Oryctolagus cuniculus: one gene and its partners. The protein of the gene in region 3 interacts with the protein of the main gene of each other region in a biochemical or structural test. Links are inferred from orthologs where the notes say so. Each region holds a gene or a part of one and is shown on either strand. Other genes may lie near its edges.

What was found.
Region 1: the proteins of DYRK1A (region 3) and DCAF7 form a complex in vitro, tested with the Homo sapiens proteins (2 studies listed by BioGRID). The link is inferred for Oryctolagus cuniculus from reciprocal best matches to the Homo sapiens genes DYRK1A and DCAF7.
Region 2: of the proteins of DYRK1A (region 3) and LIN52, one has a biochemical effect on the other in vitro, tested with the Homo sapiens proteins (3 studies listed by BioGRID). The link is inferred for Oryctolagus cuniculus from reciprocal best matches to the Homo sapiens genes DYRK1A and LIN52.

Annotation. Positions count from the first base shown.
Region 1 is NC_091448.1:15,148,779-15,159,172, forward strand, and holds the start of DCAF7 (DDB1- and CUL4-associated factor 7), read right to left. Parts: upstream 6,685-10,394; 5' UTR 6,434-6,684; coding exon 6,296-6,433; intron 1-6,295. Other genes in the region: voltage-gated inwardly rectifying potassium channel KCNH6, read right to left, coding at 10,004-10,288. UniProt on the Homo sapiens protein: Involved in craniofacial development. Acts upstream of the EDN1 pathway and is required for formation of the upper jaw equivalent, the palatoquadrate. The activity required for EDN1 pathway function differs between the first and second arches.
Region 2 is NC_091451.1:20,251,283-20,261,542, reverse strand, and holds the start of LIN52 (protein lin-52 homolog), read right to left. Parts: upstream 6,882-10,260; 5' UTR 6,674-6,881; coding exon 6,643-6,673; intron 1-6,642. Other genes in the region: ALDH6A1 (methylmalonate-semialdehyde/malonate-semialdehyde dehydrogenase [acylating], mitochondrial), read left to right, coding at 7,248-7,295.
Region 3 is NC_091435.1:7,579,074-7,589,271, forward strand, and holds the start of DYRK1A (dual specificity tyrosine-phosphorylation-regulated kinase 1A), read right to left. Parts: upstream 5,689-10,198; 5' UTR 4,880-5,688; intron 4,350-4,879; exon of another isoform or gene 4,275-4,349; intron 4,199-4,274; exon of another isoform or gene 4,133-4,198; intron 3,558-4,132; exon of another isoform or gene 3,434-3,557; intron 1-3,433. UniProt on the Homo sapiens protein: Dual-specificity kinase which possesses both serine/threonine and tyrosine kinase activities. Exhibits a substrate preference for proline at position P+1 and arginine at position P-3.

The DNA of each region.
Region 1 (10,394 bases), on a different chromosome or scaffold from region 3:
TCATCTTTATATATTTGAGTTTTCTATTTCATTTCTTTATCTTCTTCAGGGACAATAATTATACCTCAGTTAGATCATCTTTCTTTTCTGCTTCTATTATATTCTAATTGTTTATTTCTATTTCATTGTTTCAATGTCTTCCCTATCCTGTACTTTGTTTCCAGTAGCTTGTATCCATTTGTATTGTTTCCTTTTTGTTTCCAAGCTTATTTATTTTCATCTACTTGAAAGATAGCATGGCAGAGAGAAAGGGGACAGACATAGAAACATACACACACACACACACACACACACTCCTTCTATCCACTGGTTCCTTCCCCCAAATGCCCACAACAGCCAGGATGATGTGGGTGTCAGGGGCCCAAGTACTTAACCCATCATTTCCTCCCTCCTAAGATACATCAGTAGACAGCTAGATAGGAAGCAGAGCAGCTGGTACTTGAACCAGACAGCAAGGTCCCACCCTACCAAACTGCAGAGTGACTTCTAGCAATGCACCCTGTTTGTTCCTAGCTCAGAGGCCATGTAAGGTCTCAGGTATGTCAGAATACCTACAGAACACAAACATGTTCCTTGTTCAAATCTCAGCATCTCCAATAAGTCTGTGAACAAGGTTATCAAAAAGCAATAAAGCAGGGGCCAGCAAAGTGGTATAGTGGGTAAAGCTGGTTTCAATTTTAACTATTCAAAAAAGCATCAGGTATACCTACAGCCTCCTTGTCTGAAAATTAAAAATGTTACCCAGAAGCCAAAAAAAAAAAAAAAAAAAGGCTCCTGTGAGCACAAGTGTTCAGTTAGTTTTAGGGGAAAATAAACCCCAACCATCCAGCTGACTTTATTCAAAAGCAACACTTAAGTGGAACAGAAGTCCAAGAGCTGCTACCATCATTTCTCAGTAAAAGAAGCAGAATACCACCTGCCCAAGGATATTGTTGAAACTCAGGAGAAATGCCAAATTCTCCGAGTAGAGTCACTGTGGGTAAGCCAGGAAGAAAAATGAAAACACACTTGGACTAGCACACCGCTCTACCTGAAGTCCAACTACAGGATGTTGCTAGACCACAGAATGGGTTGGGTTGAAAGGGATTAGGGGACTTTTTCCCTCCGAGTCAGTCAAAGCAAAGGAATGAACACATGACCCCTTGAAAAACTTTCAGAATAAAGGTCCCGAGTCCTCTCTGGAAAATACAAAAGTAAAATTGATCTAAAATCCACATAATTCTCCTTAGCTATATTTCCATTACAGGTAAAGACAATTAAATGTTTCCATATAGCTCACTCCATGCCAGACCCAGTTTAATTTAATCTTTGCAACAACCTGATAAAGTAGATATACTTAATACTTTCATCTGACAGATGAGGAAACTGAGGCACAAAAGAGAATTTGTCCAAAGCCACACAAACGTGGGCAGTGGTAAAACGAAGATCTCAACTCAGGCTAACTCGAAGAGGCTGTCTGGCATTTGTCATGGATGAACTTGGATGGTCAGACAGAAACAATGTTCGGGAGAAAGCAGATGCAGAGACTGGATCCCTGCTTCTGTTCAGCAGATGCCAAGGTAACTCCAGGGTGATGTTAAGAGTGTCATCCGGATGACCTGAGTTCAACCACCTGCTTGTATGTCACCTTCAGGAGAGGCCTAGGACCATCTCACACTAAAATCAACACCACTACCGCTACATACCCTAAGAGAGAACTCAAAAAAGAGTGTAGAACACAACAATCAACAATGGGACTTTTTATTCCTGCTGTAGTTGATGAAATGTTTCTTTACTCTGATTCCCAAATTTATTCATATGATGAAATGCCTAGAAGCCAAATTCTTGAAATGTTCATAGTTTTAAGTCTATGGACCAACTATAGGAACAGTCTTATGATAGAACATAATCACATTAATATAAAAAAATCTAAAAACTCTAATCATGTTTCCACATTAAAAAAGATGACCATGTCAGGCTTCATTGATGGTAATGGTTGCATCCATCTGTTTTGTCTCTATTGACAATGGAATCAATGGTGTGAGAAGTCCAACCAATAATTTTAACTTTGTCTAAACTATGGAGTCTGCCACATCCATGGCAAGGTTTCTCTGAAATTTAGCCTGAGAACCACTCTAAAGGTAGGATTTACTGCCCACCTGCCCCCATGCAAAGATCTATAGCAGGACTTCAGTAGAAAATTACATTCATCTTTCCAGTAAGCTCTAGTTGAAATGTATCATTTCCTTCAATTACAAACAGAGGCACATACACACAGTGGTGTAAAGTATCTTTAACTTTGTCACCTATAAAAATTCATATCCCATTACATAATTGATACACATTTTTTTTTTTGACAGGCAGAGTGGACAGTGAGAGAGAGAGACAGAGAGAAAGGTCTTCCTTTGCCGTTGGTTCACCCTCCAATGGCCGCCGCGGCCAGCGCGCTGCAGCCGGTGCACCGCGCTGATCCATTGGCAGGAGCCAGGTACTTCTCCTGGTCTCCCATGGGGTGCAGGGCCCAAGCACTTGGGCCATCCTCCACTGCACTCCCGGGCCACAGCAGAGAGCTGGCCTGGAAGCGGGGCAACCGGGACAGAATCCGGCACCCTGACCGGGACTAGAACCCGGTGTGCCGGCGCCGCAAGGCGGAGGACTAGCCTAGTGAGCCGCGGCGCCGGCCGATACACATCTTGGAATGCTGTGCTGTTTACCCTCATCAGTACTTCAAAATTACAGTCAACATTACACTGGATGGTTAATTTAACAAGTCAATTTAACAGTACATATTAGCATATACCACTTTGGAAAAAAAAGATTTATTTATTTGAAAGGCAGAGTCAGAGAGAGAGGGACGGAGAATTTTCATCTGCTAGTTCACTCTCTAAAAGGCCACACCGCTGGGGTTGGGCAGGGCCAGGCTGAAGCCAGGAGCTTGGAAACCTTTTCCAGGTCTTACAGGTGGGTGGCAGGGGCCAAAGGATTTGAGCCATCTTTAGATGCTTTTCCCAGGCCATTAGCCGGGAGGGAGCTGGATTGGAAGTGGAGTAGCTGGGACACAAACTGGAGCCCAGATGGGATGCCAATGTCACATGCAGTGGTTTAATCATACACCACTTTTTAAAAAGTAGTTTGGCTATCTATGGTTCAATTAGTTTCCTAATTGAATCCTATGTCTTTTATGCATTTGAAAACACAATTATGAGAAGGGGTCTACTGGTATCAAATTACCAAAGCCGTTTATCCAAAGTACATACACACAGAAGTTAAGAATCCTCACTGGGGCTGGCGCCATGGCTCACTTGGTTAATCCTCTGCCTGAGGTGCCAGCTGGCCATATAGGTGCCAGGTTCTAGTTCCGGTTGCTCCTCTTCCAGGCCAGCTCTCTGCTGTGGCCCGGGAAGGCAGTGGAGGATGGCCCAAGTGCTCATGCCCCTGCACCCGCATGGGAGACCAGGAGGAAGCACCTGGCTCCTGGCTTCAGATCGGCGCAGCATGCCGGTCGTAGCGGCCATTTGGGGGGTGAACCAACGGAAGGAAGACCTTTCTCCCTGTCTCTCTCTCTCTCTCACTAACTCTGTCAAAAAGAAAAAGGACCTTTGAGGTAATAGAGTCAAATAATTTCATTAAAATAAAAAAAAAAAGAATCCTCACTTACAGATAGGTAGAGGCACTAAAACTGTAAGACACTGCATTGCCTACATTATGGATGAAACAAGACAGAGTTGACTGCTTATTCTGTTAATACAGGGATTCATCTGTATTTCACCACTGCAGCCGCCTGCCTACACGACCGGCACAAAGAAGGACATCCATACAGTTGCTAAAGAAAAACTTTGGGAACTTCCTGCAACTGAGGTTTGACATCAACTAGCCCATGATTCCACTTGCAGCCTAACTATGTCTCAGTCTGTCTCTCTCAGAAATGAGAGCCACAGCTTGCCCACTGACCCTGAAAGAACTTGCAAAATTACATCACTTTATGTGGATTCAAGTTGTTTGAAAGACGTATCTTACTTTTTATTTTTTCATGTGTATTTTGAAAGAGTAGTTCTTGTGGTCTTAATTTTACTAATATGATGTCGACATCAGGACCTTGAACTCCACTTGCTGTTTTGCCTTCTCTACAAGCCACAGGGGAGAAAGAGGCACCAGAGGAAAAGAAACAAAGCTGTGTCTTGCAGCCGGCGCTGTGTACAGCAGGTTAAGCCAATGCCTGTGATGTTGGCATCCAGTATAAATACCTGTTCAAGTCCCACTTTTTTTTTTTTTTTTTTGACAGAGTGGACAGTGAGAGAGAGAGAGAGAGACAGAGAGAAAGGTCTTCCTTTGCCATTGGTTCACCCTCCAATGGCCGCCGCGGCCGGTGCACTGCACTGATCCGATGGCAGGAGCCAGGTGCTTCTCCTGGTCTCCCATGGGGTGCAGGGCCCAAGCACTTGGGCCATCCTCCACTGCACTCCCTGGCCACAGCAGAGAGCTGGCCTGGAAGAGGGGCAACCGGGACAGAATCCGGCGCCCCGACCGGGACTAGAACCCGGTGTGCCGGCGCCGCAAGGCGGAGGATTAGCCTAGTGAGCTGCGGCGCCGGCGTTCAAGTCCCACTTCTGACCCAGTTCTCTGCTAATGCACCCAGGAAAGCAGCACAAGATGGCCCAAGTACTTGGGCCCCCGACACCCTGTGGGAGACCCAGATGGGGTTCCAGGCCTCCAGCTTCCACTTGGCCCAGCCCCAGCTGTTGTAGCCATTTGAGGAGTGAACCAACCGCTGATGGAAGCTCTCCCTCTCCTCTGTCTTTCCCTCTCTCTGAAATTCTGCCTTTCCAATAAATAAAATTTTTTAAAGCTACGTCTTGCACAGTCAGTGGTAAATTTAAAAGATCAGTGCATACTCACTAGGATTTGTTTGTAAATCGTGTATGAGTATGTCTGGCAATGCAAGCCCGTGGCTCGCGTCAGTTTCCCAAAGGGGATCCTAAAGAAGTTAAGACCTACTGCAGAGAGAAACAAATGTGCTCCTGAAAAACTGTGAACACTGAAGATGTTCGAATGCTGTGGGGCAGGTGCTGCGGTGCAGTGGCACGCAGCGGAGTCCAGTTCCCATGCCAGCTACTCTGCTTCAGATCTAGGTCCCTGCTATTGCACCTGAGAAGGAGCAGACGATGGCCCAAGTCCTTGGGTCCCTGTCACCTATGTGCAAGATCTGGGTGGAGGCTTCCGTCTGGCCCAGCCTTGGCTGTTGGCAAGCGTTTGGGGAATGAACCAGTCAGTGGAAGATCTCTATCTCACCCTCTCTCTGTAACTGCCTTTCAAGTAAGGAAATAAATAAATCTTTTTTTAAAAGCTCAGATTTTATTTTTTACAGATCTTCATGTGTAAAGCAGCACCCCTTTCCTATAGCAAACTGTGGGTCAGAAATGACCGGGGGTGTGACGCCTCAAAGCCAGTGGGTGAACCAGACGGAACTCAATCCTTTCTTCCCCTGCACCAGGCCTGCCAACGGCCACAGCTTTATTCTTCAATCTGATATGCATGGAGGAACAGGAAAGCCTCTAAACACCACCAGCTGAACCTTACAGGTGCTCTGTTCACGGTTATTCACAACTGTTGCTCCAACACAAGAAAAACAAGATACAGAAGAAAACTCCTCCCACTGACTTAGCTAATTACTCTCAAAAATAAATGCACGCTGCTGCACTGCAGGTGCAGAAGCATCCCCTAGCAACAGAGTTTCCATGAAGGATTCTCAAACTGGTGGTCGTCCGGTCAGCTCCGCTACCTGAGGTTACAAACGGCAGGACTATTAGCACATAAGAAGCCAAGAAAACAATGGCGGGATGATGCTGCAGGCCAAGATGTCCAGAAACAAACAGGTTGTTTCGGAGAGGGCAGGTCGCGGGAGGCCACAGCGAAGGCCTTGGAAACCAGGCAGCAGGGATGCAGATCCAAGGGACGCGCCGAGTGCGACTAGGGGGCGGGGAAACCCTCAGCAAGCCAGGGACGCCGCGACCACCACTTGGGGAGCCTCATCGCTCCCTGTTCCCTCCCCGCCTCCCAGCCGAGGCAATGCGGCAGGAGTGGAGGGCCTGGGAGCGGACACCTGGCGCAGCTCCAGAACGTCAGCTCGGCTCTGAGACCTGTTACCACCACGAAATACCCGTCTGCCTCGGGAAAGTCACACGCGCTGCCTCCGTCTCCCCTCCACGCTCCCGACCACGCAGGATTACGTGGGACCACGAGAGCGGAACCGCCAGCACAGGGCCAGACCCGGGGCCCGCTCCCCGCCGGCTGGGCTCCGAGCCCCTGCCCGGCCCACCTTGTTGTTGTACTCCTCCACGAAGCTGCCCAGCGCCAGGCGAAAGCGCTTGTCTGGCCGCACACTCCAGTTCATGGCGTAGACGGTCCAGGGCGCTTCATACTTGTAGATCTCCTTCCGTTTGCCGTGCAGGGACATGGTGGCGGCGGGGCCGCACTGCGGGCCGGGGCTGCAGCGGGGAGTGAAGAGCGGGGCGCGGATTCGGGCGGGGAGCCGGGCCTGGGACGGAGGGGTCTCAAGGGAGGCGGGGCGGGGGCGGGCAGGAACTGCCTAGCCCGGAAGCGGGGCCGCGGCGACAAACAACGACAACAGGGCCCGACCCCCAGTTTCAAACAAGCTTCGGCACCGACAACAACCACCTTCCGTTTGGGATGTCGCCCCGCCTCCTCGGAACGGAAGCCACGCGACCGCCCCCCACCCGCTCCCCCTGGAGCGGCGTCGGCCGTTGGCTGCTTGACACGTCCTTTCGAAATGGTTCCTTCTCCTCATTGGTTATTACGACCGCGGCGTCTGAAATCTCCTCGCTATTGGTGCAAGTATTTATCATTCCAAGTAGTTGCCCCGCCCAATTCCTGGAGGCAGGCGCTTTCGCAGTCCCGAAGGTCATTGGCTAGCCAAGATGTCAGTCACCCAGATAACGGCGCAGTGCGGGTGAATAGGGGCGTGGGTGGCCCAGAGGCGACCTGCAAGTTCTAGGCCAAGTGGCTGAGAGTGAAACCTCTGTGCGACCTGCCCTGACTTCACCGTTGCTGCTGCTAGACTGAGCGGCCTCCCTAGGCTGTTGAGTAAAATTTAAATTCTGTCTTAATGGAGGACTACCGCATTTTACAGTACTGAGTCCAAGGCCTGACCTCTTGGCCCGCCGCACTTATCCCTCAAAGCCTTTTTAGCGGGAGAGTTGTGCTTCCAGTGCTCCAAGGGCAGGCCTCAGACACGCAGCAGGTGTGCGCAGGGCCAAGCCAGCTTGAGTCAGGCCTTACAGCGCCTTCCTGCAGATTCTAGAAATGTTCCCATGTCTTGGGTTGGTCTTTATTGGGCACCGAGCCCACCAGCCTTGCTCTTAATTTTTATTTTTTAAAGGTTGATTTATTTGTATGAAAGGCAGAGTTAGAGAGAAGAGACAGATCTTCTCTTGGCTGGTTCAGGCCCCAGATGGCCCCAAGGGCCAGCGCTGGGCCAGGTGGAAGCCAGCTGGGAGCTTCGTATGGTCTCCCAAACACCTGGACCATCTTCCGCTGCCTTCTCTGGCACATTAGCAGGGAGCTAGACTGGAACTGAAGCAGCAGGACATGACCCATGCCTATATGGGATGCTGCCTCCGCAGGTGGGGCCTTTATGCTGGCCCCACTTAATACTACTTACAGTGCCTTATTAAAGTTACAATTCTTTTTAAAATTTCAGTTTAATATACGTGTGTTGCAAACATGATAGGGTTATCAAAATTTTTTAAGCATCAAAATAAATTACATGTAGGTTAAAACTAGAGTGGAAGGGATAATTAGACTTATGAAAACCTGTTCTTATGTTTTTAAAGTGGATGATGATGGCTCTAAAATCTATGTTACCTGGATAAATATGGATAAATATACATGAGATGAAAAAATTCTATATAGTGTCAATATTTATAATGCACTGGACATTGATTCCTTTGCAACTATTTAAACTTATCAATGAAATATTTCAGATGTCCACTTAAAAATGGAGGAGAGATAAATTTCCCAGAATTCTTTTAGAGAGTTCTGGAGCACAAAGTACCGAGACTGAAGGTCAGTGAGTTGGTATCCTGGAGATAACAGCCCCTTCAGCAGAATGGTTAACTGCACAAACTCTCACGCCAGACTGCCTGCGCTGAAATTATGTCCTTTTCCCATCGTGTTAGTCATGAATATTTTATTTATTTATTTATTTGACAGAGTTATAGACAGTGTGTGTGAGAAAGAGAGAGAGAGAGGGAGAGAGAGAAAGGTCTTCCTTCCGTTGGTTCACTCCCCAAATGGCCGCCACAGCCGGTGCACTGCACCGATCCAAAGCCAGGAGCCAGGTGCTTCCTCCTGGGCCACAGCAGAGAGCTGCACTGGAAGAGGAGCAACCGGGACTAGAACCTGGTGCTCATATGGGATACCGGCACTGGCCCCTCATTTTTAAACGTTTTATTTCAGAGGCAGAGAGACAGAAAGACAAAGTTCCTATCTGCTGGTTCACTCCCCAGATGCCCACAATAGCCCATGATGGGCTGGGCCCCCAGCTGGAAATGTAAGCCAGGTCTCCCACACAGCAGGAATCCGATTATTTGAGCCATCACATCTGTCTCTCAGGGTGTGAACTGCCAGGAAGCTAGTCAGAAGCCAGGGCTGGGGATGGGTTGTGGGTGCCTTAGCCATTTTGCTAAATACCTCACTTTTAAAACTGAAGTATCATTTGTATGTGGAAGTACATGTGAACTCTCATGTAACCAGCTCCAAGATCAGGAAACAAAATGATGCCGGCACCCCCAAAAGTCCCAGCATGCTGTTAGTAAAAGGGTGCCGTCTTATCTGTGGCGCCAGCTTAGGCTCTGGCTCCTGTCATCGCCACCTTGCATAGTAAGCTTCAGTCCTAAGACCCCATGGCCCAACCACAGGTGTCGGCTCCACCCCCACCCTAATGGGATTCACTGCTCCTACTTCCCTGCCCGCCGCTGGCAGAGGTTTACCAGGACCTCTTCCCCAACACGTACTCTCGCCTTCTCCCCCAGCCCGCCAGGCTTCCCCCACCCGACAGCTTTTCCCTTCACTCCGGTGTTTGGTGTGTTTTGTGGCGGCCTTACACGCGCCTGGGTGGTTTTGCAGTCCCTTCCTCTGCTGCTGATCCCACGTTCTCTAGAATGAGGACAATAACGCCGACTCCTGGGCTCGCTTTGAGGAGTAGATACTGATATCTGCAGAGCCTCACGAAGAGTTGGCTGTTGTCATAATTCCCAGGGCCACCAAGCTTCCCTTCTCCCCAGCCTGGCTAACAGCCCCAGGCTCTGAGGGCGCCTGGGTCCAGGGAACCAACTTCAGGTCCCCAGCACAGTGGATATAGTAGAAGGTGGGCCCCCAGGCCCTGGTGAGAAGTTACTTGGAGAAGATCACAGCACAGTTGAGGTCTTATCAGCTCCTTAGGTCCTTATCAGCTCCTTAGGTAAGTCATACACCTGTCCCAACATGATATGTATAGGCTTTATTAGCTGAGTGACGGTCCACGGCCCTCTAGGGACCCAGATGTCATCAGAAAACCAGAGGCAGAAGGACCAAGGGCTGTAGCTCTGTTCCAACATGTCTGCCCCAGAGGTCACCTATACCTCCAGTTGGATCCTGGGCTCTCCCAGTGGTCTGACCAACCCAGGCCTAGTGCTGGGCCAAGAAGCAGGTGGTGCTGAGCTGGGAGGTGACCATGTGCAGTGCACAGCCAGGCCCTCACATGGACAATCAGGAACATCTTTCTTCACCAACTCTCTGTTCCGTAAGCTACCTCCATGCCCAAGGCTCCCCGCCCTCTGCCAGGCTTGCTGCTACAGAGAGCCCCTGGGAAGCTGGGAAAGTCCTGAAGCTCTTCATCCGTGCCCCCCCCCCCCGGGTCACCCGGCCAGCAGTTCGCAGCTACTCTAGGAGAAAGGTTTTCATAGGCCCATTTCAGAAGCTGTCTGCCTTCACTCATTCCCCTCACGGTGTATTGGGATTTGGTGCCTTAACTGCCTGCAAATCCAGGGTCGGAACCGTGTCTCTGGAACTCTAGCTGCTTGGGAACAGAGTCAAGGTGTTCAGGGAGGGAGGGGAAGCGGGGACCACAGACCAGTCCCTGTGCCTCCAGGGGATGCAAAGGAGAGGCCAGGGGTGACAGGAGGCCCTCGGGCTGCGTCTGGTCCAACAACGGAGTCAGGGTTTGATCCGCAGCCACAACCAGGTCAGGCATCCTGGAGGAGGAGTTCCTGTGCTTCGGCCCACATTTGTCCAAGTCACCAAAGCTTGCGGCCTGGGAGGGGCAAGAAAGAGGGCAACATGGAGTGTGGGGGAGCCCCGAGGCCAGGCTGTGGGTTCATCCCCCCAACTTCGGGAATGGGAGCCAGCAAGAGCTGCAC
Region 2 (10,260 bases), on a different chromosome or scaffold from region 3:
TGCTGCTGTGCCTGGGAAGCAACGAAGGATGGCCCCAGTGCTTTGGCCCCTACCAGTATGGGAGAACAGATGGAGTTCCAGGTTCCACTGTAGTCATCTGTGGAGTGAACCAGCGCATAGAACCTCTCTAACTCAGCCTTTCATATAAAATTAATAAATATTTTTTAAAAGTCCTGAAACCAAGCTAACTCAAGGAATTATCACTTCTCTTGACTAGTTCAAGAGCCTCTTAAAAGATCTCTTTCCTTCTGTTCCACTCCTTTCTCCTCCTTAGCCCCAAATCTGTTCTCCACTAAGTGGTCAGAACTGATTTTTTGAAACATGTCAATCAGTTCACGTCACTCTCGAGTGTATAGTCTATTTTCCCACCTAATCTGTGAACATATATCTCCATACCCTAAAAAAGGCTATATAAGGGGCCAGCATTGTGGTACAGTGAGTTAAACTCTCACCTACAATGCCAGCATCCCATGTGAGCACCAGTTCCAGTCCCAGATGCTCTACTTGTGATCCAGCCCCTTGGTGGTGCACCTGGGAAAGCAGCAGATGGTCCAAAAACCTGGGCCCTTGCCACCCACATGGGAGACTGGGATGGAGTTCCTGGCTCCCAGCTTCAGCCTGGCCCAGTCCTGGCTGTTGTGGCCATATGGGGAGTGAACTAGTGGAAGGAAGATCTCTCTCTGTCTCTCCCTCTATCTCCATGGCTCTGCCTTTCAAATAAATAAATTTATTTAAAAAAAAAATTCTACACAGAGGCTGGTGCTATGCTGTAGCAGGTAAAGCCACTGCCTGCAAAGTTGGCATCCCATATGGGCACCAGTTCAAGTCCCGGCTGCTCCACTTCTGATCCAGCTCTCTGCTATGGCCTGGGAAAGCAGTGGAAGATAGCCCAATTGCTTGGGACCCTGCACCTGCGTAGGAGACCTGGAAGAGTCTCCTGGCTCCTGCTTTGGATCAGCGCAGCTCCAGCCTTTGCAGCCATCTAGGGAGCCGACCAGTGGATGGAAGACCTCTCTGTGCTCTGCCTCTCTGTAACTCTGCCTTTCAAATAAATACATCTTTTTTTAAAAAAATTCTACATGATCTAGTACTTGTCTAGTTCTTTGACACCATTTCCCCTCTACTGTTCCCCTGGCACACAACAGGTACTCAGTATTTGATTTAATACTGTGTGTTCAGTATGCTAACTAGAAGCAAAAATTAGTTCATTTAATGCTACAAATAGTGGTCCTTAACATTTTCTGGGTAAACCACATTTTTTTAAATTATTTATTTGAAAGGCAAAGTTACAGAGAGGCAGAGGTAGAGAGAGGTCTTCAATCCACTGGTTCACTTCCCAAATGGAGGCAATGGCCGGAGCTGAACCTATCTGAAGCCAGGAGCTTCTTCTGGGTCTCTCACATGGGTGCAGGTGCCCTAGCACTTGGGCCATCTTCTACTGCTTTCCCAGGCCATAGCAAAGAGCTAGATTTGAAGTGGAGCAGCTGGGATGTCGGCACTGCAGGCGGAGGCTTTACCTGCTATGCCACAGCACCAGCACCAAACTACATCTTTAGATATCTGAAAAGAAAAGCTACAGACTCACTTCCCTGAAAAATGTACATTTATACATAAAACTTTTCAATAAATGCTTTTTCTAAACTGAACCTCTTTTACCAAATATTCCAAGGGAATTTCTAAAACATTCTACTGGTAAAGAATTCAAGTCTAGTACACTGCATTAACTAAAGCAAAGGCTATATGCAACACAAAATGCCAGTTTTCTACTTGTTATTGACGAGGAGCTCAACCATAACAAAAATGAACTTACTGAAGGGTAGGATCCAATGACAAATGAGGGGGACCGGGACTGACACTATGACGTGGTAGGTAAGGCTGCTGCCTGCGGTGCCAGCATCCCATGTGGGTGCCGGTTCGAGACCTGGCTGCTCCACTTCCAATCTAGCTCTCTGATATGGCCTGGGAAAGCAGTGGAGGATGGCCCAAGTCCTTGGGCCCCTGCACCCACGTGGGAGACCCAGAGGAAGCTCCTGGCTCCTGGCTTTAGATCAGCACAGCTCCAGCCATTGCGGCCATCTGGGGAGTGAACCAGTAGATGGAAGACTTCTCTCTCTCTCTCTCTGCCTCTCCTCTCTCTGTGTAACTGTGACTTTCAAGCAAAATAAATAAATCTTAAAAAAAAAAAAAAAAGTCTCTCACTGTCCACTCTGCCTGTCAAAAAAAAAAAAAAAGCGCAGGACCTCTTTGGGAGGCAACTTCTTTTTTTTTTTTTTTGACAGGCAGAGTGGACAGTGAGAGAGAGACAGAGAGAAAGGTCTTCCTTTGCCGTTGGTTCGTTGGTTCACCCTCCAATGGCCGCCGCGGCCGGCGCACCGCGCTGATCCGATGGCAGGAGCCAGGAGCCAGGTGCTTTTCCTGGTCTCCCATGGGGTGCAGGGCCCAAGCACCTGGGCCATCCTCCACTGCACTCCCTGGCCACAGCAGAGAGCTGGCCTGGAAGAGGGGCAACCTGGACAGAATCCGGCGCCCCAACCAGGACTAGAACCCGGTGTGCCGGCGCCGCTAGGCGGAGGATTAGCCTAGTGAGTTGCGGCGCCGGCCGGGAGGCAACTTCTAAAAGAAACCTGGAACTGGGGGAAAAAATGTTTACATGTTTGATTCGTTTTCACATTTTCGGAAGCACCTGGTATGTCTGGGACATAACTCAGACTCTGCTGTCTTACACTTACAAATTCAATAATTAAGTGGCTTTACTTGGATTCTAATTTGCTCCTTTTCAAATAAGTTCCAGCAAACTTGGCACACACACACACAGACACAAAAGTAAAGGATCTTAACTTATTTACAAATCATCATTATGTGAATTAAGCTTTAAAGTCAGGGACAGGTGGGGGTCAGTGGTGTGGCGCAGCAGGCTAAGCCCCGGCATACAGGGCCAACATTCTATATATGGGCACCAGTGAAGTGCTGGCTGCTCCACTTCCAACTCAGCTCCCTGCTAAAGCTCCTGGCAATGCAGTGGAGGATGGCCCGACTTCTTGGGGCACTGCACCCATGTGGGAGACCCAGATGAAGCTCCTGGCTTCACCCTAGCTCAGCCTTGGCTATCGCAGCCACGTAGGGAGTGAACCAGAAGGAAGATCTCTCTGCCTCTCCCTCTGCCTGTAACTCTGCCTTCTAAATAAATAAATAAATAAATAAATAAATAAATAAATAAGAGAGACAAGTGAACTCAAAATATAGAAGTGAGAGAGCTAGGCAGTGGAATATTTTAGAATTGAGTTAGTTATTCAGAAACTGAATTTAAGTTGAAAGTGCTTAACTGACTTTGTCAGATTAAAAAGAAAAGATTAGGTGGAGAAGGGTGAAACTCTGTAGAGATGAGAACCCGGACTTTTAAAAATAAAGAGGGAGGGTACAGGCATTTAGCCTAATGGTTCAGACATCGACATCCCATACTGGAGTATCTGGGTTCAATTCTTGGCTTCTGATTCCAGCTTCCTGCTAGTGCCCACTGTGGGAGGCAGTGGTAACTGCTCAAGAAATCGGGTTCCTGCCATTCACACGGGAGAACGGTGTTCCTGGCTACCAGCTTTGGCCCTGGCCCAGGCCCAAACCTTAGCCACTGTGGGCAGCTAGGGAGTGAAACAACAGATGGGAACTCTCTTTCTGCTCTCCAAAACAAAACAAAAACAAAAAACAAAAACCAACTTTTCAAAAACAGAAAAGAGTGAAAATAAAGTGAATTTGGAGATGGCTAGAAGATTACAGGAAAAACTAAATGTTTCCAATACTCTTCCTGGCTGAAGAAAGAGAAAGAAATTGAGAGGACACGGGGAAAATTCAAACATAAAGAACGCAGTCCCAAAATCTCCAAAGACTTACATGCATAAACATAAAAACAATAATAGACTGAACATTTTAAGAGCAAGTACCTCTACTTCTAAATTGTTTAGAGCTCAGTGTCACTAAGTACATTAGTACAGTGCAACCATTATCACTGTCCACCAGAGCCCTTTCCCCTTCTCAAGTTAAAGCTCTGCACCCATGAAATAAAAACTCCCCATTCCTTTGGCTGACTCTTTTTTTTCTGACAGGCAGAGTGGACAGTGAGAGAGACAAAGATTTTTCTTTGCCGTTGGTTCACCCTCCAATGGCCGCTGCGGCCGGCGCACTGCACTGATCTGAAGGCAGGAGCCAGGTGCTTCTCCTGGTCTCCCGTGGGGTGCAGGGCCCAAGTACTTGAGCCATCCTCCACTGCACTCCCGGGCCACAGCAGAGAGCTGGCCTGGAAGAGGGGCAACTGGGACAGAATCTGGCACCCCGACCGGGACTAGAACCCGGTGTGCTGGCGCCGCAGGCAGAGGATTAGCCTATTGAGCCACGGCACCAGACTCCTTTGGCTGACTTTTAAAATAACTCCTCCCCGCTTCTTTTTCTGGCCAGAGGATTTAGCAGAATCTTGTCTGATTCTAAATATTCACAATTTCTTTTTTTTTTAATTAATTAATTAATTTATTTTTTTAACAGGCAGAGTGGACAGTGAGAGAGAGAGAGACAGAGTAAGGTCTTCCTTTGCCGTTGGATCACCCTCCAATGGCCGCCACGGCCTGCGCACCGCACTGATCCAAAGGCAGGAGCCAGGTACTTATCCTGGTCTCCCATGGGGTGCAAGGCCCAAGCACTTGGGCCATCCTCCACTGCACTCCCGGGCCACAGCAGAGAGCTAGCCTGGAAGAGGGGCAACCGGGACAGAATCCGGGGCCCCTACTGGGACTAGAACCCGGTGTGCCGGCGCTGCAAGGCGGAGGATTAGCCTAGTGAGCCGTGGCGCCGGCCCTATTATTCACAATTTCTTACACAGTATGTACCTATGCTCAAAAAGTTACAACTCAGTTAAACTTAAGGTCAAGCAAAACATTATTTCCTCTCTCTATATATTCTTTGATTCAATAAATGTTAATTGAGCCTTAAGATGCTAAATCAGGCACTGTGCTGCTGAATCCCAGGATTCAGCTGTGAACAAGACAGACTTGGAATTTATAATCTACTGTGAAAGAGGAAAAACTAACAGAATAACAATGCCATCAGTGAAGATACTGAGATATTTAAACAGGGGAGAGGGGCAACTCCAACACTGTGTTCTGGAAAAGCCTCTTTGGGGAACAACATCTAAAAGAAACCTGGAACTGGGAGAAAAAAAGTTTACATGTTTGATTCGTTTTTACATTTTCGGAAGCACCTGGTATTAACGCCTTTCATATATGTTGAGTAAGCCCATAATATTTTGACAGGATGATCGGTGTCAGATTTGGAGTAAAAATGAGGCACACATGGGAAGGCTGGTATACCTCTCTCCTCTCCTGGCACTGGGGCCATCAACTGACGCAATAATCCAGTCTTCCAATCCTCCCCTAATGGCATGCTCTGACCAAGCTGTTCCAAGATGCAGCCATTTTGTAGACCACCCCCACACAACTCCCGCAAGGTCCCATCATCTCTGCAGTGAGCCATTCAGCACCTTGCTCTGGTGTTGACCAGGGTAGCCAGGAGACAGCGGAAGAGATCTTAGGTGCTTTTTCCTACCCCCTCCTTTAGATTGCTAATCGGCCTGAGGCCAAATTGTCTTCCAGGGAAGAAATTTAAGAATCCATAATTAGGGTATTGAAATTCAAACTCAGACAACCCTGTAATCTAGATAGCAATCTCCATGTCACTCGGTAAAAAGGAAGTACTGCTTTACACTTTCATGTGGTCGTCTGACAACCTGTAACAAAACCGGTCTCATTAGTCTTTTTGATTTTTGCCAATCTTATGTCTCGTTATTGTTTCATTTTTCTTCAATGGTGTCAATATAGAATATGAAACCTCTGCAAAAAAAAAAAAACGCCCTCCCCAAGATTTCTTCCAAAAACACTCTGTGGTCGAGGAGGGGAAATTGCACATCAATGAACCTGACCTGGGGATGGGGTGATGGAAGGGCAGCCCGCAAGACCCTAGCTCTCTAGGGCAGATCGGAGCACAACAGCGCGCTGATACACCAAAACCTCGCGTCCTAGACAACATCCAGGCAGGGGAACCCGCACACACAGCGGCCCCTGCAGAGACTGAGATGTACGCGAAACTACTCTAAAGCAGAGCTCAACTGTCATTTCCTGGGGACCCTCGCGGCGAGGGGACGAAAAGGTCCCCGCTTCTCTTGCAATTCAGTCCCCGGACGGGGTCGGCCACCAACCCAGCTAGGACTTGAGGATAGTTCGATCAGTGCTCAGTGCGAGCAGAGATGATACATCAGCGGTGCACCCGGAGGAGCAGAAAACTATATATAACAAGGCACCTCCTTTCTCTCAGCAGTATCTCCTCCTCGTCCCTCAACTTCAGCCAAATAGGGAAAAAGGAGGGCCAATGAGACCACTGTCCTTCTGCCCTACGTGGGTGCTCTCCTCCACCTGCAGGGTACACAGCGGGGAAACCCGGCGCCTCTCAGCGGATGTGAAGAACCGGCGAGGTGAAACCAAGGAAAAGGGAAAGGAGAGGTTCCCGAGAAAGAAGTGTACGTTCGAGGGGCAGATGGAGAGTGGAAGTTCTCAATGGGAGCAAAGGAGGAGGTTGCAGGCCAAGGGTCTCTAAGCCGGCTCTTACCGTCTGTGGGAGACGCCATCTTCCAACCCATGTCACGTGACGTGGCCAACCGTCGGCGGGAAAGCGAGGACCCCTAAGCCACGCCCCCAAAGCGAAACCCTATCGCCAACTCGCAGCCCAGTCTCGTTTCTCCTCCCCATAGGACAGTCCTTGCCTAGCCCCGCCCCTAGCGACAGCCCTGCCCCTCGTGCTGTTGCGGAGGCGGAGCGACTGCAAAATTCTTGGAGGGTCTTATTTACTTTCCTCGGTAGGGGGTGGAACCCTGGTCGTGGCTGTAGCCAATCAGAACTCCAGGTTAGGGGGCGTCTCCCCTCCGTGTCCAATACAGAGTACCCAGGTAGGGGCGTCTTCCCTACCTCCGCCAATAGAATTCTCTGAGGTGGGAGGGGGCGAGAGCGCTTTCGCTTTTGACCAATCACATATCCGCAGGAGCAGGCCTGCGGGGGTGGAGTCAGGTGTTTTAGAGAGTGATTGGCCAGAGGAAATGCTCCTCTCCACGAATGAGAAGGTCGGGCAGGATGGAGGGGGAGGCCTGGCAGCTGTAGTGTTTCTGGCTAGCGCGGGCGGTGGAGGCTGGGGGAGCGTAGAAGAGGCGGCCGAGAACCATGGCGGCGGTGGTGGTGGCGGCGGCAGTGCGGGCCCGGATCCTGCAGGCGAGTGAGGGTGGCACCGAGGGACCACGAAGCTGGGACTTGGATGCTTTCCGTCCACTCTGAGCCATCCTCGGGCGGGACCGACTTCTTGGCCCAGCCCCCTTCTTGGCCGACCCTGGTGTTCCCCTCCCAGCCCAGCGGCCTAGTTTCCTCCTTCCCCCACCCCCACCCCGTACCTCCCCTAGTCTGGATGCCTCCCGGGACTTTCACCCGTTTACTCCGGGGCTTCCTGCTTGTTGGCTCTCGCCCACCGTCCTCAGCCCTACCCGGTCCCTGCTGCCACTCTTGCTGTCACCTCTCGGCCCGCCCACTGCCTTTCCCTGTCACTTCTGCACCAGCCACTTCGTTTTCTCGCATAAACTCCCCTCTCTTAGAGCTCTTTCGCCCGCCAGGAGCGTCCAAATGGCTCCCTTTCCCCACCCGTGAACCGAGGTAAGGGAGGGAGGGGGTTCTCGAGGGGCGAGGGTCAGCGAGTGAACTTTGAATCTCGCTCTGGGAGTGTGCACCAGGTTTTCACCACAGGCAGACACTTGCTAAGCTGTTTTCCCCAACTCTGGCTCTGCATTTCCCACAACCCGGAGGCGTTCTTGCCAAAGTTTAACTCTGTTAAACTTTGTCTCAATAAATTTACAGTTTTCATGTTGCAAGTAAATAAGGGCACGAAGTTCTGCTAGCGCATTGTTCCAGTCCCTTCAGGGGACTAAACATCTCTAAAACAGGCGACAGAGAATGAAGCTAAGAAAGGCGAGAAGCTCCAAGCTTCCCCCCTAACGTCAGCTCTCCGTGTGCCGGCACACCCTCCGATCTGCCCCTGGGAGACTGGGTCCTGTCTCCAGCCAGGCCTGTCGTCTCCAAGTCTCCAACCCTGAGTAGCTTTCCCCTCTGTTCCTAGCCTGGCAAGCAATTGCACAGTGAGGCAATATTTACAGTAGGCAGGATTCCCAAACCTGCTTTTCTTATTCCTTATGTTCAAACGGGGAACTTCTCTGTGTTGCTGGGCTTTTAGGTTATTATTATTATGTACCGTGTTTCCCTGAGTTCTTCCGCAAAAACAGAAGCAGTTTTAAGATTCTTGGCAGAATCAGCAAAGGTTCATATTTATAAATACACTGTTTAATGGAACAGTGTGGAAGATGGAGGGGTTCGCCGGGTGGGCTGGCTTCACTCTTATTTCTTGCCTTGATTCCAGTTCTGCTCTAGCAGCTTTTTTCTTTTTAGTAGCAAGAAAACAGTTTCCACCCTGTTTTGTCCATTACCAGCCTCTCCTTCAAATCTTTGACTAAAATTGGCTTTTCCCTTTGCCTCCGCCTCACTCCCATTGAAGGTATTTTGTGCTTTGCATCAGAGAGGAGAATCTGTCTCCCATGTACTTCATTTCAGAAACAGGTACAATTTTCTGAGCTTCTCAACTGACCTGGAAAAAGAAAAAAATAATGCTCCTTAGCCGACTAGGAGTTGCTCTATCATGAAACTTTGATACAGAGTAGTCTAGATTTGGCAGCCATGAATATTTAGAGGACTATCAAAGGGATCTATAAAGGTGAGAATTCAAGTTTTCAGCTATCTGAAGTGTTTGACTTACAGTCTCTGTTACTGACGCTAGTCAGTCTTAAGCTAGAACCTCTCTCCTTGTGATATCATCACTCCCATTCAGAGGTAAGAAAACCAGCCTTAGAGAGCCTGGCTTGCCTCAGTGAGCTGACAGAAAGAGAAGGCTCCACAGTCCCACTCCTACGTGGCTTCTACCCCAGCTCCGCCACTTGCTAGTTGCAATACTCCTGAAGGTTAGAATCGATGAGGATAATGAAGCCTGTTCCCTGACACTTACAGTGGCCCCAGGCCACTCACCTAGCACTTGATGGGGCTGAGAATTTAGGACTTAAATCTTGGCATCTTTTTCTGTGTTCCCCTGGAAGATCCCTGACTGTAACGCAGTAAGTGCATTCCTAGACAACAGGAACTGCCCAGGGACATGGGGAAAGAGCCCCAAACTCAACCTGTGCAAGTCAGGAGAACTTCCAAAGGGGGCTGACTCTGGGCCTGTTGCTTGGAAGACTACCAGGCCACTAACCAAGAGGAGAAAGGAGTCCCTGGTAAAAGAAGTAGCACGTGGGAACTAAACACCTGGAAAGCAGAAAGTTGGAGTGACCGTCGGAAGACAGTTTCTTTTCTTCAGCGAGTATTTCTAAGGAAATGAAAAGGTGGGAAAGCTGATCTCAGAAACTGCACAGCAACTCCTAGCAGAGGCAGTGCCTCTGTACCCCCTTGACATTGACAGCCAGGAGGCCGTGTGCAAGTGAAGAAGTACAGCTGAATGGCCCAAAGTGCTCAGCTTGGCTGGTCAGTGCATTTTCTGCCCATAACAGAGAGCACATGAAACAAAGTTTATACCAAGTGATGACTTGGTGAGGACTCATTCTTTCATCTCTGTGTTGTTCTATTACTGAGTGCTTGCTCTGTTCCAGGAACCAGGCTAGGGCCTGAGGACACGATGAACTAGTAATCGAAGGGGAAGGAAACTTAATAACTTGACAAGCTGTTACTGCACGATGTGAAATGAGAAATAAATAAATTCAGATGCCTGTGAGCTCCACAACCAGGTAGTTAGCCCAGACTTGAAAACAGCAGTTTCCAGAGAAAGTGATGGCTGGGACTGGCACTGTGGTACAGTAGGTTAAGCAGCTGCCTGCATTGCCGCCATCCCATATGGGCACTGATCTGAGTCCCGGCTGCTCCACTTCTGATCCAGCTCCCTGCTAATATCCTGAGAAAACAGCGGAAGATGGCCCAAGTGCTTGGGCCCCTGCACCTGTGTGGGAGACCCAGATGAATCTCCTGGCTCTCTGGCCTGGCCCAGCCCTGGCCATTGTGATCATTTGGGGGAGTGAACCAGCAGATAGAAGATCTCTCTCTCACTCTCTGTAACTCTGCCTTTCAAAAAATAAATACTTTTTAATTAAAAAAA
Region 3 (10,198 bases):
TTTCAGGCGACCATGTCTTGACAAGTTTCAAGTAATATCTTTACTTCCAAATCAAAAAGACAACTGTTTATGGAAGTAAAATTACCAAAACACTCACCAGGAAATAAAACACTCTTAGTCCACAGTTTAAGTTACTCAAGAATTCTATAAAAGACTGTAAGATATTATATAAGACTAATAATAATTTGGGGAACAAAGTGCCAAGTTTTTGATTAAAGACTCCATGAAGTTCTGGGGTCTTGATAGGTTTGGATGGTTAGGTTTTCCTGGGGGTAGGGGAGGAAGGGGTATCAGGGAGGAGGGAGGACTGACAGGTGAGCACAGGAAATATGAAAGCTCTCCCGTTAGGAGAAAGCTAAGGCCAAAGCAAAATAAACTGACACAAACCTAATTACTGATACCAACAAGGTCACAAGTTACGCCCCTCTTCCACTACTCTTACTTTTCATGTCATGTAAAAGACTATTCCCTTCCTACCCCTGATGCAAGTACTTCTATCCAAATTTTCTTCCCTTAGCTAGATACCTGCCAATCATAAACATGTACATGAAAACACTTCTGGGCAAACTAAACTTCTAAGATATTTCTTTTTCAAAGCCACTGCCTGCAGTGCTGACATCCCGTATGGGCGCTGGTTTGAGTCCCAGCTGCTCCACTTCTGATCCAGCTCTCTACTATGGCCTGGGAAAGCAGTAGAAGATGGCCCAAGTCCTTGGGCCCCTGCACTTGCGTGGGAGACCCGGAAGAAGCTCTGGATCCTGGCTTCAGATCAGCGCTGCGGCCATCGGGGAGTGAACCAGCAGACTCTGTCTCTGTCTCCTCTCTCTCTCTCTCTCTCTCTCTCCTCTGTCTCCTCTCTCTCTCTCCCTCTGCCTCTCTATAACTTTGCCTTTCAAATAAATGGAATAATTAAAAAAAAAACACTTAAGTACTTATAGATGAAGTTATATGACAGCATAATAATTTTAAAAAACCAAACATGGTTTTCAAGTAACAGTCAAAATGCAATACAAACCAGCATTCTCTCTGCATGGTTACAAGACGAAACGCATGCCAAAGGTCCTTGTAGCAATGTTTGTAATAAGTTACCTTCAACTCTGCCTTTGTAGCTAAATATTCAAAATACTATGAAAACCCAAGTTCTTTAAACACTCCCCAGCCCTACGTAGTTAAGTCATGAACACAATACACAATAACTTTCCATAAATAAAACTAAGTGGTAGGTATCAGAAAATACAGAGGAAATAATTTTCAAGGGTCTTTATTTACTGTCCACAATGCCAAACAAGATATTGCACTAAAGCAGAATATTTTCATTTATCTTGAATGTTACAGCCTCTAAAAAATTGGGCTGACATTCATGTTTCAGTTTCCAGTACACAGTAATTTTTCATGCTGGTTAAGTTTCTAATGGGTACCACTAAAATGTCGTGAAATCTCAACTTTCTAAGAGTACGATCTCACTAGATTCCTCTCACTCTTACCAATGACTCATTCATTTGAGCCTATTTCTCCAAATCTAAAATTTCTTCAATACCCACCCTAAGTGCACAGTGGCGACCCCTCCTCTCACAGTCATTAACTGCTGGCCTAGGCCTCTCCCAAGCACACAGACCCTGCTTACGCCCCGTTTTGCAAGGGAACGTGGTGCAGACACTGACAGGAGTCCTTAACTTTCTGGCAAGGTTTGAAGTCTAGATCAATTTGGACAGCTACCATAAACACCACTGCTATGCCAAGACAAATGCGCCCAAAGCCCCGGAGTACTCCAGGCAGGCCTAAGTCATACGTACATGAAACAGCTCGACTATAACCAAATAAACTTCTTCCTTAAACCACCGTTTCTCTGAAACAATCCTCTTCAGTTTAAAACCTTGGCGTGCCAAATTTTAGCTCTAGCTTCAGATTTATTACCTATCTGAAAGGAGTATATCCTCTTAAAGCAAATGAATAAATTTTTTTTAAAAAAAAAAGGCTAAAGGTAATTCCACTGAATTACTAAAATACCTCGAAATCAAAGTACCAAGTGTATTCATTATTAAACACTTTGCACATGTATGAGGTACAGAAGAAATCTAAATATTCAAAGGGAAAAATGACTGAAAATAACTACACAAAACTTTATGACTCATAACACTTTAAGGATGTCTATAATTAAAATTAAGTGTGAAGACTAAGAAGCACCAAGGAATATTAATTCCTTCCATTCAAAAATCGACTGCCTGGTTTTCTTCAGGGAGAGAGGGCTGGCAAGTCTCATTAAAGAGGCTCACCTCCGCTTTGCATCTCCACTTCTGCAAACTACAAAGTTAATCCCATGCCAGAAACCGTAAGTGGACAGACACAGTCTCTTAGAATCGAACCCTGAGTCACTGCACGCAAGTCGTTCCGAAATTTGCTAGTTAGAACCTAGCCAGCCCCCTGGCTCCGGGAGCCCCAGCTGTGTGACCTTGGAGGAGTCACTGCCCGCTCTCCGGGCTCAATGTGCCCATCTGTAAAATGGGTTAACACCTCCTACCGGCAGCACACGGGGTAAAATATCCCCAAAGCCGTGAGAGGAGTGCCAGCCACCATCTGCCCTAATCTCTACATGCGGAAAACAATGCAGACGGGGGTCTCTTCCGACCGTCGGGGCGGAATTCCAGAAGCAAACGGTGCTGGCATTCCAGCGCTGCACCTGCAGTATGGGAGTCCTAGGATCCAGGGACGGGCGAAAGGCACAGGCAACCACTGACTCACTAATTTTGCCATTTTTAACTGTTTCAGGCTGGAGGGGGCGGGGGGAGGCCTTCGCCGAATGCTCAGACAGTCGGCGGCCCCGGTGCCTGCGAAGCCTCGGCGGGTCTGTGCCTATAAATAGACTCGCGAAGTTTTGTAGCAATACACAGGTATCAATTTTAATTCGCGTCTCCGCGGCGGCTTAAGCAGGTCACCGCTCCCCCGCACTCCGGCCCCAACTTCCGAGCACGCCGCGTCCCCCGCCCCACCCCCACCCGGCGCGGACCCCCGAGGGCCGCCGAGCCAGCGGGCCCCGACCTTCGCCGGCGCCCGGCGCGGCCCCGCTTCCCTTAACCCGTGCATTGTCCTTGCGAAGAACCCCGGCGGCTCCCACACTGGTGGGGACCTAGAGGAGGGACGAGGGAGGAGCTGGGGGAAGAGGATGAGGAGGAAGAGGAGGAGGAGGAGGAGGAACACAGCCTCCTCCCTCCGCCCCGGCGACCAGAGAAGGCCCGGCTCCCGGGAGGCCGCGGCCCCCGCTCCCACCCTCCGCAACTTTCCCTCCGCGCGCACCCGCCGCCCCGCCGGGACCCGGCTGCGGGCTCCCTCCCCCGGCGGCCGGCCCCGGGCCCCGCGGCGCCTCCTCCTAAAATGGCAGGTCCCTCCCTCCGCCGGGCCCGGCGGAGCCGAGCGCCGGGCCGGGCCGGACACTCACCGGGACGATGGCGGGGCGCTCGCGCCGCTCCCTCCGGTGAGTCTCAGCCTCGGGCTCCCGCGCCGCGCTCCCGCCGCGGCCTCCGCAGCCAGCGCCGCCCCGGCCGCCTCTCGCCGCCCCCGGCGCGGCCGGCTCCTGGCCGCGCCGCAGCCTCCTCAGTCTCTCGCGCTCGCGGGTCCGGCGGCGCCGGGGGCCGGGGCGGCGACAGCCCCCTCCCCGGCAAATACCGCAGTCCCCGGGCCCCGAGTCCCGGCGGCGGGGCCGCGCGGAGGGCGGCGGCGGCGGCGGCGAGGCCGGGCGCCGAGTGGCGGCCGCTGCCGGCGGCTTCTTCCCGAGGAGGATTTTGTAAATCGCACAAAATGGCGCGCGCTCCAAACCTGCGCAGCGAGGAGCGCCGGGCCCGAGCGGCGGCGGCGGCGGCGGCGGCGGCGGCTTCTCCGCCAGGAGCGCCCGAACCGCCCGCCCCCGAGCGCCCGCACAGACAGACAGACACTCGCACACGCACGCACGCCCGCTCGCTCGCACACACACACTCGCACACTCACACCGGTCCCGCCCGCCCGCCCGCTCGCTCGCTCGCTGGCCGGCGGCGGCAGCGGCACCACCAGCAGCAGCAGGAACAGCAGCAGCAGAAGCGGCGGCGGCAGCGGCGGCGGCGCCCGCACCCCCCGCTCGGGGTGTCCGCTCCCCGAGCCCGACCTGGGCCGCGATCAGCAGCAGCGACGGCAGCAGTCTCCCCGGATCCCCCCGCCGCGGTTGCCGCCGCCACCCCCGCCTCACTCCAATGGGGCTTTTTATTATTATTCGGGCGGGAAGCGAAAGGGTTTAAAAAAAAACCAACCAACAAAATGGCGACGGACCGACCCGGTCGCTATGGCAACTGTCAATCAAAACGCAAAACCCCGGCTGACGTGCTGACGTCCTCCGCCCGCCCCCCCGGCCCCAAGCCGGCGGGCGGGGCTTGTTGCCCGGGAAACGGCAGACTTCGTTCCCTCCTTTCCTGCTCCCCCTCGGTCCCCAGCCAACCACCCAACCCCCCTCAGGTCACGTGAAGGATAAATTCGGAGCTCGGGCCCGCTACGAGTGTCAGAGGAGGGCGCGTGATTCGCTCGGGGGAGGGGTGCGGAGGGGGACGGCCGGGCCGAGGGAGGGAAGGGGAAGGGGGCGAGGCGGCGGCCGGGCCCGTGCGCGAGCGCCCGCCGCCTCCCCGGCCGCCTCGCCCCGCCCCGCGCCCGCCGCGCCCGCGCCGACTGCGGCCCCGGGAGCGCGCGCGGCCTCCCGCGCTTCCGCGTCGGGCGCCCGCAGCCCCGCCCGCGCCGGGGGGAGGGGCGCGCGCGGCCGCGGGGCGGGGTGGGGGGGCGCGGAGAGGGGCCGGGGCGCCGGGGCCGCCGCCGGGCGGGAAGCCGGGAAGCCCACCCCCGCGCGCCCGGGCCCGAGGGCTCTCACCGCGGTGCGGCCGCCTGCATTCCCGGGGAGCGCGCCGGCCGCGCACGGCCGCGCGGAGGAGCCGTTCTCGGAAGGGCTCGCGGCCCCCCTCGCCGGAAAATGCCCACGGAGGCCGCGGCGGGGGCGGGGAGGAGGCCGCCCGCGCGCCTCAGACATCCCAGGAATCCCGGGCGCCGCGGCCGCATCCGGGGTGCCCCTGCGGCTGACGCGCGGCCGGGCCCTGCCACGTGGGACCCACGTCCGAGCCTCCGGGCCGGCGCGCCCCCTCCCACTGCAGACCCCGCGTGGGTGCCGAGCCCGTCCTGCGCTGCCCGCGGCCGGAGCCCTTCCCTAACATCCGGCTCCTGGTGCATTAGCCCGTGGACCCCTCCCCATGCTGGGCGTGCTGGGAATTGTCTGCTGTGCCACCCCCGCCCCCCCAGGTAATGGTGTTTAATCAGCGTTCGTCCGGGCTTGCACGCAGCGAAAGTCGCTAATCTGGTGGTTGATTTCTAAGCCTGACTTTGCCGTGTGCAGGTAGTGTCCGTGTCGGGGTCTTGGGCTCAGTCTCTTCACAGACTAGCCACAGACACAATCTGACAGACGACACAGGTGTAAGAGGAGAAATCCCAATGAAAGCCTCCAGCCTGTGTAAATTTCCAGCAGAATTCCCCTCCCACAGTCTGCAGGTACAGCACTGATATATTAAGGCGATCATTCAAATGAGCAAAGGCCCTGAAGTAATCAGACCAGACCTTAAATAAATTTGGCAAAAAAAAAAAAAAAATTAGGCAAGTGGTTAGCTTCAGACTGATTCTCATGACTGGTTAAAAAAAATAAAAGTTCTGGATTGCTGGTGTTTTCAAACTTGCCCTCCTAATGTAATTGAGGTCTGCATACAGCTTCGCATCTAAGGAAGAGGAAGTGGCCAACAGTGTCCCTATTCATGAAAGAGGTTGTCACCCAGTGCTTCCCAAGCTCAAACTTCCACCTGGAAGACAACCCCTTCCTCCCTCCACCTGCTCTCCTGCCTTCTCCCCACTCCAGCCCATCCGCCAAGGTTTCACTGCTGCCGGACACTTGAGCAAGTGCCACCTTGACCACTAAGTTATTCCCGAGTCAAGTTTTCATTGCTAGCAATGGAGGAAGCTTGCATAATGCACATCTAAGTAACCGAGACAGAATAGGACAAGATCGCCGGGAGTAGATCCTCGCCTCAGATGGGTCGAGGGGCTCATGGGATGAGGGAAGTCTTCAGGTCGTAGGCACACAGGGGTCAGAGGCGTCCCCAGTGTTCCCGTGTAGAACGCTGCTCATTTCTCTCCCAGCGTGACTGCCTTAGACAGCATCGCACTGCGTGCCCAACGGGTTTTGTGTGGGCTTCCCCTAAACACTACCAGCAAGTTATGGCTGGCACCAAACAAGAGAACACACGTAGCCAGGAAGGACGCTGGTATGGATGCCAGTGTGGTGCAGAGCTGAGAGACCCTCCCCGTGGGTTTCGCTTAGAGGTGTTTGATGGCCTAAGAAAATCCGGAGAAGCAGAATCCCCCAACTGGCAGTTACTATCGGCTTGCACTTCTTCCCACGCCTGTTAGAGGTCTCATCCTCACTATAACATTGTATCTCGGTTATACGGCTGAGAAAGCAAGCCCTGAAGTGACTCTCCCAAAGCCGGCCCACCCGTGAGCAGGGGAAGTCAGAATTCAAACCCAGGTGTGGCTGTAAAGGCTGTGTTTCGGCAGACTGTTTGGAAGCAGAGTTGTCACAGAGATAACCCTGACTAAAGGAGGTCTCTATGATGTGCCCTGGTCCCAGATGACTGGTGCCAGTGTTCTTATCTCTGCGCTCACAATTTCTGACACCCCTGATGTTCTTACAGACAAGTGAAGCCCTTCATCGCCCTGCTTGTACAAGCGTTATTCACTGTTCTGACTTTGGGGCCTGCCATGTGGCACAATCAGTTAAGCCTCTGCCTGCAGCACCAGCATCCCATAGGAGTGCAAGTTCAAGTCCTGGCTGCTGCACTTCCAATCCAGCTCCCTGCTAATGCACCTAGGAAAGCAGCAAAGATGGCCCAAGTTTTTGGGCCCCTGGACCCAAGTGGGAGGCCTGGAAGAAGCTCCTGGCTTCAGCTTGGCCCAGCCCCGGCCATCGTGGCCATCTGGGGAGTGAAACAGCAGGTGGAAGACCTCTCTCTGTGTCTCTCTCTCTCTGTCTCTCTCTCTCTCTGTGTAACTCCGACTTTCAAGTAAATCAATAAATCTTTTTAAAACGTTGTTCTGACATTAAAAGTAATTCATGAATATAAAAACTTATTAAAAAGAAGCAAAGTTAAAATGAGAGAGGCCCTATATAAACTCACAATAGGGGTATGCTATGAACCAAGAAGTTAATAAGCAACTATATCCAAGTTCCAAACAAAAACTAAAAATTAGATTCTGGTAATTACCAACAATTTTACCATACAGAAAACAGTAAGTAGGCTAGGATCACCAGTAGGCATCACTCAGGAACACACCCCCTTTGTATGTTCATAACAGCATCCACCCTTCCGGACTTTCTTAAGAAGACATGTGTGCACTGACACACATTTCACACCAGCAGGTGTGTTCATGCCTTGTCTAATTACAATTGTGCTATGAACTCATTTTTGTATTAAACAATTGAAATTTAAATAATAACATTAATAGCAGTTAGTATTCCATCGGTTGAATGAGCCGTCATTCACTAAGCCTCCTCTATATTTTAAGGAAGTTTCCATTTTTTCTTGTTATTACAAAAAAAGTTGTATAAACATCACATATATATATTAAACATATATACAGACACACACAGAGTTATTTCTCCCGGATAAAGGGAGAAAAGTCCTTAAAAAAAAAAGTTGGACTCATGTTGACAAAGAACTTCGGAAGGAAACAGCTGTTTGGCCTAAACAGCTGTTAAGACACCACTTGGGATGCCCTCATTCCATATCAAAGTGGCTGGATTTGGGTCCCACTCAGCTTCCGATTCCAGCTTCCTGTTCACCCATCCCCTGGGAAGCAACAGATGACGACTCAAGGACTTGGGTCCCTGCTGCTCACCTGAGAGACCTGGATGGAGTTCCGGGCTCCTGGCTTCAACATGGCCCAGTCTCAGCTATCGCAGGCATTTGGGGCATGAACCAGCAAATGGAAGCGCTCTCTCTCTCTCTCTCTCTGTCTCTCAAATAAATCTTAAAAAAAAAAAAAAAAACAAGGCCATATGCTGTTATGGTATCAACACCATATACCCAACACACACTCAAATGTCCTGTGGCTCTTGCCACTCCAGGCCATCTCTCCAGTGGGCTAGCCTGGATTTCTCCCTCCTGGAAGCCTCCTTACTTCCTCTCCACCACACACCTGGATAAAATGCTCTGCCACGTTTCTCCCAGCATCTTAAAGTTGTCAACGAGACTGGCTTATGCCAAATGTGGTTCAAGTGCACCTTTTTTTTTTTTTTTTTAACAGGACAATATCTGTTACCATCCTATCATGTAAGCATTTTACCAATATTATGTCCTGAATTATCATTAATGTTTTCTCTTCCGGTGACATGAAGGTAAAGGCTAAATAGAAAATATGAAGTTGGTAAAGTGTGTATTTCACATTGTTTTGGAATATCTTGAAATAGCCTTGTTGCAACATTTTGGACACCTTAAAAAGAAACCCACTTTTATATAATATAATAGCTTCCTCAAAATTAACAGGTACAGGGAAAATGCCCTAATGAAACTGCAAAAAACAATTAAGTACATGGAATTAAAATGAGGTAGGAGGCACAGACTTCCACGAAGACACTTCCTGCAGTGGCTCGTTAGTGCAGTGGTTCTTGAGAGTTTCAGCTTGTTTTCTTGGCTTTTTAATCTAGGTATGCAGTGGATGGCACTTAATATTCCTAGGGTGTTTTTTGTTATGCACATTTACTGCTATTATCTTCAACATGTTTCCAAGTTTTGCATCGGTTTAATTGAAAATGTATTTATGTAGTTATGCAGTGGTATTCACTCTACCATAGGAGTATTTGCACTTTTTTTTTTTTTTTTTTTTTGACAGACAGAGTTAGTGAGAGAGAGAGACAGAGAGAAAGCTTCCTTTGCCATTGGTTCACCCTCCAATGGCCGCCGTGGCCGGCGCGCTGCAGCCGGCACACTGCGCTGATCCAAAGGCAGGAGCCAGGTGCTTCCTCCCAGTCTCCCATGTGGGTGCAGGGACCCAAGCACTTGGGCCATCCTCCACTGCACTCCTGGGCCACAGCAGAGAGCTGGCCTGGAAGAGGGGCAACCGGGACAGAATCCGGCGCCCCGACCGGGACTAGAACCCGGAGTGCCGGCACTGCAGGCGGAGGATTAGCCTAGTGAGCTGCGGCACCGGCCTGCGTGTTCATTTCTTAACTGTAAGTGGTTTTGGGGCAGGGATCCTATATTTTCATCTTGGTATCCTAAACGCATTTTGTAAGTATGGTTGATGTTGTATTTTTTTCTTAAGATTTATTTTTATTGATTTGAAGGCCAGAGCTACAGAGCAAGAGAGGAAGAGGCAGAGAGAGAAAGAGATCTTCCATCCGCCGGTTCACCAAAATGGGCGAAACAGCTGGGGCTAATCCGAGCCAGGATCTCCACTCTGATCTCCCATGTAGGTGGCAGGGGCCCAGGTACTCTGGCACCTTCCACTGCCTTCTCAAGCGCATTAGCAGGGACCTGTATTGGAAGCTAAGCGGCCAAGACCTGAAACATGGGCTTAACCATTGCACCCCAACGCCTGCCCCTATTTTGCATTTTTAAATGAACCAGGAGTCCCTGATAATTTTCCCCCATCCTACATAAAGTTTTTCACAATCATAAAATTTGAAGAGAAATCGTACAGAAGCAAGAAATGTGTTTGTCCTATCTTAAAATGGATAGAACTTCGCTCTAGTACCAGAGGAAACACTTTTGTAATCATCAGAGCCAGAAGAAGAAAACTCCATGAGAAGGTGCAGTCGTGCCAGCGATCACCACTTCAGCATTTAGTTCGATCACAGGGGAGGTCCTCCAGCCAAATAGTCTTTGCACGTCAGCAGCTGAGCCCACGGACCACGCGCAGGCGTAGGCGGTCTGGCCAGCAGAGGTCTAGGCCCCACAGCGGTATGAGTGAGTCTCTTCATGTCTACTTCCCCATTGCAAAGCTACCAGGCTGCCCCCTGCATGCACTGTTAGCCACTCAAGGGCAGGGTCAGAAGTCCTTGCATGAAAGGACAGCAAACGTATCTGTCCACTCCCATCTCTGGATTTACGGTCAGACTTTGAGAAGCAAAACTCACATGTTGTATTTCCCT